Linked DNA regions of Drosophila melanogaster. The protein of the gene in region 1 interacts with the protein of each later gene in a biochemical or structural test. Each region holds a gene or a part of one and is shown on either strand. Other genes may lie near its edges.

Evidence for each region.
Region 2: the proteins of Gbeta76C (region 1) and Ggamma30A form a complex in vitro, tested with the Drosophila melanogaster proteins (one study listed by BioGRID).

What each region holds. Positions count from the first base shown.
Region 1 is NT_037436.4:19,685,658-19,690,632, forward strand, and holds Gbeta76C (G protein beta subunit 76C), read left to right. Parts: upstream 1-1,979; 5' UTR 1,980-2,070; coding exon 2,071-2,139; intron 2,140-2,560; coding exon 2,561-3,006; intron 3,007-3,060; coding exon 3,061-3,262; intron 3,263-3,401; coding exon 3,402-3,531; intron 3,532-3,614; coding exon 3,615-3,701; intron 3,702-3,894; coding exon 3,895-4,001; 3' UTR 4,002-4,335; downstream 4,336-4,975. Other genes in the region: CG8765 (uncharacterized protein), read right to left, coding at 1-21, 81-234, 301-989, 1,138-1,279, 1,338-1,578; verm (vermiform), read right to left, coding at 4,849-4,975. UniProt on the Drosophila melanogaster protein: Guanine nucleotide-binding proteins (G proteins) are involved as a modulator or transducer in various transmembrane signaling systems.
Region 2 is NT_033779.5:9,254,535-9,259,817, reverse strand, and holds the start of Ggamma30A (G protein gamma subunit 30A), read right to left. Parts: upstream 3,256-5,283; 5' UTR 2,612-3,255; intron 551-2,611; exon of another isoform or gene 233-550; intron 1-232. Other genes in the region: lectin-30A, read left to right, coding at 4,987-5,283. UniProt on the Drosophila melanogaster protein: Guanine nucleotide-binding proteins (G proteins) are involved as a modulator or transducer in various transmembrane signaling systems.

The DNA.
Region 1 (4,975 bases):
CTGAGTTGCGAATCGCTTTCCCTGAAGAGTAAAAAGTTATCAATATATGATTATGTTAAAATAAACAAAACCTCTCTTACAGCGTCTTTTGTTGTATGTACTTCTGAAGGAAACTGAGCGAATTATAGTGCTTCCAACGCGATGTGGCATCTATGTGCATCAGTGTCCTCAATCGCTTGTGTTCGCGTGCGTATTGGTCCCTTAAAGCCTTCCACTTCAGTCGACACTGTTTCACTAAAATAGTTAATGCTTGAAAAATCATCTTCATCCTTCGGCTGTTTAAGTTTATCAACCACATACCCGACTTCTTTAGTTTTCTGGCGATTTCCTCCCACACCTCCATCTTGAGCTTGGCATTGCGATAGTTCTCGTTGCCGTAGTTGTAGATCATGTCTTCCTGCTGGATCAGCGTGATCAGTTCCTTTTCGAAGTAGCTCTCCATGTTGAGAAATGTGTGTATGGGATCGTCGTCCTCCTCCTCGGCGTTCGTCGATTGATTGTGCGCTGCTGAAGTGGTGGATACATTAGACGTGATTGTTGCTGCCGAGCTCGACTGATTGGCGGCATTGACGCAGTCCACTATTTCGTTGTAGAGAGTGTCTACCACCGTGGTTGTGTTGGCGGTTCCACACTGCACTATGATTGATGGAGTAGCACCGCCTCCCGCATCCGTCAGATAGTTCCAGTTCGCTTCCGGCTGCGAGTGCATTTGTTGCTGATGCTGCTGTTGCTGCTGCTGCTGCTGCAGCACGGCTCCAATATGGCTTGCCAAGAAAGTGGCTGCCGGCTTCTTATCAGTTGAACTAGGCGAACTGAAGCTGCAGCTGTCGAGCAGCGTGGATGCACTGGCATCCTCAATTTTAATGCTGCCGGAAAGGTTTAGATTCTGGCTACTGCTGTTGCTGCTGAAGGAAGTAGTCATGGGCAGCGATAAGGGGGTCACCGTACCCACGGCGCCATTGGAAGTCTGACCAGATCTCCCTCTGTAACTAAAGAATTGTGGGTTTAATTAAATACGGACATATCATTTGGAAGCCTGAAGAACAGAACTAGTGATAGATAGCTCCATATGCTGTATAGTCTGCATTGGCAGTCAGCATGGCGGTGCCAACTTGAATTGCTCCACGTGCTACTTACTTTCTTGCCAGCGCATATGGACGCAGGAAATCCAGCTCTTTGAAATACTTCCACTTCACTGCTTTTGAGCAGGCCTTGGCGCGCTTCAGCTCCCGGCAGTACTGATCCCTCATGGCCTTCCACTTGGACTTGCACTGGACGTCTGTGGAAATGGGATTAAGTGCCAACTTTTTGGTGGGGAAACTTAAACGTTCACTTACCGGACCAACCCACATTGCTGCCAATCTCCAGCCATTTCTCGTCCTTGATCTTGGTGCTGCGGTAGTGGGGATGCTTGGGATTGTATAGCGACTGCTCCTGGGAGACCAGCGAAATGAGGATCAGCTCCTTGGGAATGCTGACCACATTCTCACCCAGACTAGGATCTATGCTGAGATTCACGTGCTGCTGCTGCGGCTGCTGGTGCTCCTGCAGCTGGTTGGCACATGGCAGCGTCTCCATGGCGCTCCCTACTTGGTGTCCATGCTGGCGGTGTGTTAATATGGGCAATTGTTATAAATAAAAACAGGGAAAACAAAAATGAGGTGACCGAACAGCTGATCCTGGAGAGTTGTGTAATTAGAGGGACCAGTTTCGCCTTGGCTATACAAGCATCTTTTTTACATTGAGTGGAACATCTGGTGGCCACCGACCTGGTCACCCTGAACAGTCCAGTGCTGCAAGAGGCGCACACCATTTCGATAAGTTGGCAGCCCGCTCATATGTTCGATTTTAAAATTTTGGCGCCAAAAAATCGTCTTTCTATACATTTGTATTTAACGGCTAATCCAATTAGCTAATTGCATTACCGCTAAGGAAAAAAGAAAACATCATAACATTCAGGCAAAACAAATTGTTTAACTCTCAGTTTATTGTGCGACGCAGTGCGGTTCAAAACTAGAAACTTTCTTCTGGCAAATATTGCAGCCGTCCTTATATAATTAATGCTCCATAATGCCGAAAATTGACCCAGAAACACAAAAACTCTACGACGAAATCAATGGCATGATACAGAAGTTTAAGGTGAATTAAATAAACTCAACGTACAGCGAAGTAAATTAAAAATATCAGATAATAAATATAGCAACAACAAAAGTAACATAAAAAAGTTTTCCCCATATAAAATAACAATACTCTAAAAATACCGATAGCCAGCTTAAAAAGAAATTCGTTGTCCTTAATTTAATTTTAACAAAAAAATATTAATATAACTTTTTGGAATATGTATGATAATATGATTGGGTTTTAAATATCTTGCCAGATTTCATACTTCAGTGCTAACTACTCCCATAATATTTCATCTCGATAATAGTCGAACACATTATTTCCAATTTTGAAAAAATTAAGTGACTTAACTTAATCGAAAACTGTATGCGTCTCTAACATTTATTCTGGAAATTCTTGTAATAAAAATTGTCATTCATTACTATGATTTTGCTTTCAGGATGACCAAAAAAGCAAGGCTGATTGCACGTTGGCCGATAAATGCGGCGACATGGGGGATGTGCCCAAGATTCGATTCTCATCCAAGAAGATTCTCAAGGGCCACATCAACAAGGTGAATTCGGTGCATTTTGCCGGGGACTCGCGGCACTGCGTCACTGGATCGCTGGACGGCAAGCTGATCATCTGGGACACCTGGACCGCCAACAAGGTGCAGATCATCCCCTTGAGATCCGCCTGGGTAATGACGGTGGCCTTTTCGCCGTCGGGTAACTTTGTGGCCTGCGGAGGAATGGACAACCAGTGCACCGTCTACGATGTGAACAATCGCGATGCCTCCGGAGTGGCCAAGATGGTCAAAGAGCTGATGGGCTACGAGGGATTCCTCAGCTCCTGTCGCTTCCTCGACGATGGCCATCTGATCACCGGCTCGGGAGATATGAAAATGTAGGGCTTTGCTTAACTTTTTGGAGTAAAATCTAAGTTTCCTATGACCAACAGATGCCATTGGGATCTGGAGAAGGGTGTCAAGACAATGGATTTCAATGGACACGCTGGTGATATCGCTGGCTTATCGCTTTCGCCAGATATGAAGACCTATATCACTGGCTCTGTGGACAAAACTGCCAAGTTGTGGGATGTGCGAGAGGAGGGCCACAAGCAGATGTTCTTCGGTCACGACATGGACGTGTCATCCGTCTGCGTGAGTACACATATATGTTTTAATAATAATAGCTTATATTAATTACCAAGAACAACTATAAGCAGCTAATCTATTTAGTACTTGTAATTTAATACAAATGTATTCATTACACCCACCCAATTATCATTATCGGTTGCAGTACCATCCCAGTGGCTTCGGGTTCGCCTCCTGCTCGGAGGACCAAACGGCGCGCATGTACGACCTGCGGGCGGACCAGCAAATCGCCCAGTATGAACCGCCCCAGAAGAACACTGGCTTCACGTCGTGCGGTGGGTTCTCGTTCTCCGTCTTGGTGGAACACGGTCGCCTTGACTTTTGACGGGTTTTTAATCTGATTTTGTGTCCCCACCAGCTCTATCGACCAGCGGGCGCTACCTCATGTGCGGCGGCATTGAGGGCAACGTGCACTCGTGGGACACGATGAAGCAGCGGCACACGGGTGGGTATTGGGAATTGGGTAGTTCGTATTGGGTATTGGATATCCATTGCACTTGGGGGATTCGGTGATAAAGAACGGGGAAATGGAGGCGAAGCTAATGCTCAGGCTGGCACTTGACTTACATCGATTTGCTGACCTTCTTCTCCACTTTCTACTTTCTACTTACCATTTGTCACTTTCCATTCCTCCACAGGCACACTGTCTGGTCACGAGAACCGCATCACTTGCATCAGCCTGTGCCCCAATGGCATGTGCCTGGCGTCCACCAGTTGGGATCAGCAAGTGCGTCTGTGGCTCTAATCTGTGCCTCTGATCTGGGTTCAGTGTCGTCCAAAGGCGAAGACAACGTTTATGCGTGCAGTTTGCTTGCAAATTACGTATACGTAATATCCATAGCCTGCAAGTAATAAGGATAGTTCTCAGTGCAGACTAACAATATTAATACAATATTAAATCTATTGTTAAACTTGCGAACATAAGAATAGCTTGCCCCCTTTAAGTGCTAATTTGCAAGCAAAACGTGCGTATGAATATTATTATAATAATTGAATACTTGATTACCTAGAGAAAGTAGCCTCCAATAACAAGCAAGTGCCAATTGGATGTGCGAAATAAAATGTATGAATAGTACAACAAAGTAACACGTCTCCTCCATTAAAACTCCATTGCAACTTAATTTTTTTTATATATTTTTTATATTTTTCTTATAAAAAATACTTATACAATTACGAAGATATTTTTGCTGCTGCGATTTTTGGCGCTTGGTTTTGTTTGTTTGTGGAAATTGTCTTTGAGCTGGTCAAAGAGGCAGCTAGGTAAATTAAAACAAATCACTTTTGAAATCAACAGAGAGATAAAGATACAGGTTCAGATACAGAATAGTCGAAAGTATACAGATAGATAGAAGATAGATAGAAAGAGAGAGAGAGAGAGAGAGAGAGATAGAAATGAAAGTCGCATAAATAACAGATGGATAGAGATAGCTTAGGATCACACAGGAAGCAGGATGCAACGATTTGAGTATTCTGTAGATGGATCAGCATAGATCAGCTGGTACAGTTTGTTTAGTTTATCAGACTCTCGGTGGAACTACTGTGAGTTGTTCTCCTGTTTGGGTAGATGGAAGGATAGCGACGACGGGACGGCCTTAAACGGAGAAGCCATCGCCGGTGGGATCCAGGATCCAGGGGTAGTTGTTGGGGCACTCCATGCACGTGAAGAGACGCAGCGTCTCGCCGGGCAGCTCCCTGGTGGTCAGGGGACACGCGTTGGGC
Region 2 (5,283 bases), on another chromosome or scaffold:
ATTTTGTAGATTTTGTACATTTTTTTTCTGAGTGCAGAGGCCATTGAGCGCTCAAACGATGGCGAAGCCAACGAACGCGTTTTGTGCGTGTTAAAGCACAGAGGGAATATAAAAATGGAAAATATGAAAATATTCCAGCAAGGAAAACGGCAGGGATAGCGAAGGACCTGCTCACCCAGCACTTTGCACACTTTTTATGCCTGGCGATAAATTAAAATTTTTATTAACATACTTTCTACGGCGAGAAAATAGTGGCTGAAAAACAGGCTGAGGAGCAGGACTCGCGGACCAAAAACGTCAACTTGTCCGGCACTTGTCGGCGATTCCCTGCAAGAAGGACATCGGGTGAGGATGGAGCATTCTTTATGACTTTTGCAAACGCACGCTGAAACTGACCAGCCCCGCCTCCATTCCTGTTCCTATTCAAACTGCCGGCCAAGCTGGAGCTGAATGTGGAGCCCTTGCAATTATAATTCGTTGATGCAGGAGCAGCCGGAAACCGGGAAAATGCAGTTTTTCATCTGGCTCACTCGGGGCAACGACAGTGGGGCTATGGAAAATCGGGAAGGTTAGTTGGAGACGCAGTCTGCCGGCTGGCGCATTATCTATGCATTATTGTGGCTCGACCAGTGGCCATCTGCCGTCTCAGCAGAAAATAATATTATATTAAATTATGTATACGTTTTTCTTGGCAATTTTATAGAGTGAACATTCCTCTTATTAGCGTGTAATACGAACGTCACAGAAGAAACTGCCGTTCGAACAATAAATTTTGAAGCATTAAGTTCTATCAGATAAAAATCCATTTAAAATTAAATAGAAATAGAAAAAAATGTATTGTTTTTATTTAATGCTTGGCTATTTGCAAATTCCATTTCAATGAATTTCCCCAAGCAGGACGAGCTGCATAAAAAATGCCATTATTATTCATTCATTACACCAAACCAACCAAAATGAATACGTCGCATTCGTGTTTAATTTTTTTCACTCATTTAATGAATTATTAAATGCAACATGCATAATTCCCGTTTCCGCGCTTAAGCGTGGACAATGCGAAATGGAAAAGCCCACGTCAAAGCCCCTACCTAAAGGACCTCGTCGGGAAATCCTTCGAATGGCACGTAGGCAAATATCCCTCTCCCCACACGCGTCCCATTCCCATGCATTGGAATGCAAATATTTTCCACTATAATTGAGGCGCGACAAATGCGAATTGTTAGCGAATGTGATTGCGTTGCCTTAGTCGATTTTCGATGGGTCGTTGGAGGAGGAGTTCCCTCAAAAGAGGTAAAACAACACGTATTTAATGCACATGCAATTCAATCATTCAATTTAGCATGCCAACAAGAATGATGTGTTCAATTTAACCAAACACCAACGAGGACATGGAGTTTAATCAAAATGGTTTTTAAATTGATAAAAGTAAAAAAAACGACCCATAATTGCAGTGGTTCTTCAAAAAATTAATGCATGCACGTAAAACAATTACAGCGCAGTAAATTGCAACTGCAGACAGCAGCAGCAGCGAAATCGAACAATTGTCGCACATTAACCACAGATGCGTTTGGATCGTCAGGGATGGGCAGGAATTATAAGTGGGTGGTATGGGTGGTGTCGACTAAGTGATTGCATTCAGTGGGCCACGGATGAATGCAAATTTCGGTTCACTTGTTTCACATCGATAAGGAAATTTTCTGGTTAATATATCCTCCTTCTTCTGCATCATAATCCTATTATTCGTTAAGTAAGATCGTGCATTTAATGTGTGCGAAAGAAAAGCCATTAACGTTGACCATTAAACGTTATATATTTTCCTCATCAGTAATATGACCAACTTTTGTGTGTTAACACAAACATCCCGGATGTTTGGTTAAATGGCCCATCACAAAGTTTGAATATTCCATTCTCTTAATAGAGAACTTTTTTTAATGGAGTCATTACGTCCACTTTGCTAGAAGCTTCTTTTCTGAACTATACGAGTAGCATTACTATCATTACTAGCATGACATAATTTCGAAAAATCCCATTACTTTACCAAATTATAAAATTGCTCACGACATTCGATGACCATAGCATTTCTGTGAAATTTATCGCATTAATAACTACGATGAAAGGGACTCTCATTCCAGATACTTAAAACCACTCAAGTGGAAAACAGCCACAAAAAATATCTTGTACAAGTTGATATAAAAGTGTTTATGGCGTAGGTCAATGATGAGATTAAATTCTGAATATAAAATGAGAATAATGTTATTATTTTTGTGTAATCGCATTTTACGTTTTTACGTTATTTTAAAGTACACTATAGAATATTGGATGATTATTAAATATTCATGATTTCATCAAGTTTTCTTTATATTACAAAACATTTGGACCAAAAACTTTTGCAGATTATTATTCGCACCAGTTATCATTTTTAAAAGCATATTCACAGAAAATATGTAACCCCTTTAATGATCAGAAGCTTAAAGGTCACGATCTAGTCTGACATTTTCACACCAACATTGCCAAAACATTCACCAGCCCGAGGCACTTTTCCCGGAATTTTCTTGTTAGCTTCAAGCTTTGCCTTTTATTGCCAGCAATTCTATTGTCTTTTATGTCAACTCACCAGACACAAGAGTTGATGAATTTTGTCGCTTCGCAGGATGGGCGACTTTAGAAGGCACTCTCGCACAGACACAGGCACACTCACACTCACGCAGCAATCGAGCCTGAATGTGTTTGTTGTTGTTGTGTTGTATTGATGTACGTATTGGTGTGTTTATTTCGATGCGCGCCAAAAAGTATGCAATGCGAACTGTGAGTCTTGTGTTGCGGGTCTGCGTTTCGGTTTCCGACTGACGATGGCCTGATGGCTGGTGGCTTGATGTCTGATGGCTGGTAATGTGATTAGTTGGCCCGTCTATCGATGCTAGTGCGCTACTGTGTGCGAGTATATTTTAATTTAATTATGTCGCTCTCGTTTCAATTACGAAAACCGCTCGCAGCGAAGACACGCACTAATAAACAAAGGCCAGCAATAACAGAATAACGAAAAAGTAAGCGACGGCTGGTATCGCTGCCGAGGGAAAACTGAAGGAAAATGTGTCGAATGAGTGGTACCAAGACCAAGACCAACCAGCGAATGTGTTCTGCCTCTCCCTCTCCGCTCTCGCTTTCTCACTCTTTGTCCGGCTATTAGCTGCTCTCTGGCTTTTCCGCTGATGAAAGTGCTGGCAATCGAATGCAACTGCCTCCCACAAGCGACTGAATGCGTTGCATATGCCAAGGCGCACGTTGAGTCCACGAGGAACGTGTGAAAGTGGAACGCGCCAGACTGGAGTAAATTTTGAGTGAGTACAAAGTGCACTTTCGAGTGCCCGGGAACGAGTGGAATTGTGCAACACCTGTGCAAAGGGGATTGTAAATGGGGTGGCCAGCACTATTCTTTCTTTATCGCCGGAAAAACGGGCAGTCGAAATTTTAATTGGGTTTGTCCAACTTACGGCACACAATTCAATTGAACCGCTCCCCCACTCGGGGCTCATTAACCTGGAGGGTTGGAACTATATCGGTGGGACATAAACTCGTTACGATTGCCTTGGTTTTTCGTAGGGTAGTTGCTGTTCTAGAACTTCCCTAGGGTTCATTTTTTTACGCACATGTTGTTTCATTTTCTCCGCTTTTTATGAGTTTCTAAGCTAACATCAATAAACTAAAACGTAGTGGTGGTATTCCAATTTCAATACGTGCTAGCTGTTCTAATTAAAAACGTAAAAATGCTGAAAAGTCAAAGCAACTTTAATATTATAAAGCATGAAGGTAAAATATCAATATAAATTATAGTAATACGGCTGCAATGGGGCTTATAAGGTATATTGGATAGCAATCAATACAATGGTGGATCAATGCATGGGAGCTTCCATTAATGCCGTATCAGAGTTCAACATAATTATAATTTGTGTCCCTCGTGGCACGTTTACATTAGCAGGGCATCTGGGCACCATCAACAGCTGACACAGAAACACTTTTACTGGCTGCACTTTGTAAAATGGATCTCTCGGCGGCATTACCTGAAAGCGCTCCCAAAAGATGCCATTCTCGGTCCGTCTACTGTCATCCGGCATGGAGATGATGACGCAGCTTAAGGGCGGCTGTACACCACCAGCTCCACAGTCAACCTCACCCCGCAATCCCGGCCAGATTTCCCCTGACAATGACTGGCACTCGTTCACGGACTCCGGGGCTGACTTCTCCGCCGCCAGCAGGTGTTTCCATTAACATCGGGACAATAAAGGCAGCGCACGCACTGCAATATGCAACAGTTGCAGACACGCAGGAAAAGCGTTGGAAATGGGAAATATGGCTGGCTGTGGGTGGTAGGTGGTGGGTGTTGGGTGCTTAAACGCACATTTGTAAGTAGTTGTGTAATCTATCCATGAACGTCGCTTCCGCTTTGCATTTTATATGCTCAACGCATCGTTTGGCCGGCGCAAATTGAGTTTCGTTGTCGTTGCTGCTGCTGAAATATCTGCTCTCGGATGGATAGATGGATGGATGGATAGATAGATGTCTGGATGAATGCCTCGGATATATCCCTTTTCCCCACAGCCATCGATTGGTAATGACGTTTGGTAGAGCCCACCCACCTTTAGGTTCATCCACTTTGTGGCTTAAGGCAAGAACGAGCATCAAGCCAATTAAAACTTCTAGCCCATCAACTTAATTAAGAAAAGGCCGAAATTATGCGACTATCATAAAAGTGCGGTGAACGTACGGTATCAAGAAAGATTTTCCTAATTGGTAAGCCATAAATTGTATTAATAAATTTTATTAGTTATACACCTGCTTAGAACGAATAACCTATGTATTTGCCAGACGTTGTAAACCGTTTTCAACGCTTTAATATGCTTTTAGATGCGGATTGTTATTTCATTATACAGATGTTAACATCCAGAAACAGTCCGTTTTAAGGATTGGGACTAGCAGGTCATACATAGTAACATGTTCAAGTATTGTTTTATATGCGTCATTCTAGCCTGGGCTTCTCGTGATGTTCTCGCTAACAAAACGGAAAATCCGCTGCTAATTGATCAAGTGGCTATAAATCAACAACAATGGTTCACATTCATTGCGCTGAAGGAAAGTGAAATGCAACAGAAAATAGTGAGGATCGAAAGATCGATAGAAGAACGATTGATGGCCATGCAAAGCAAGTTGGCATACGCACTGAACGAGCTGCAGACCATAATGGGCAACCAGAGTGTGGAGACTCTCGAGAAACTACGAATCTCGCACAGG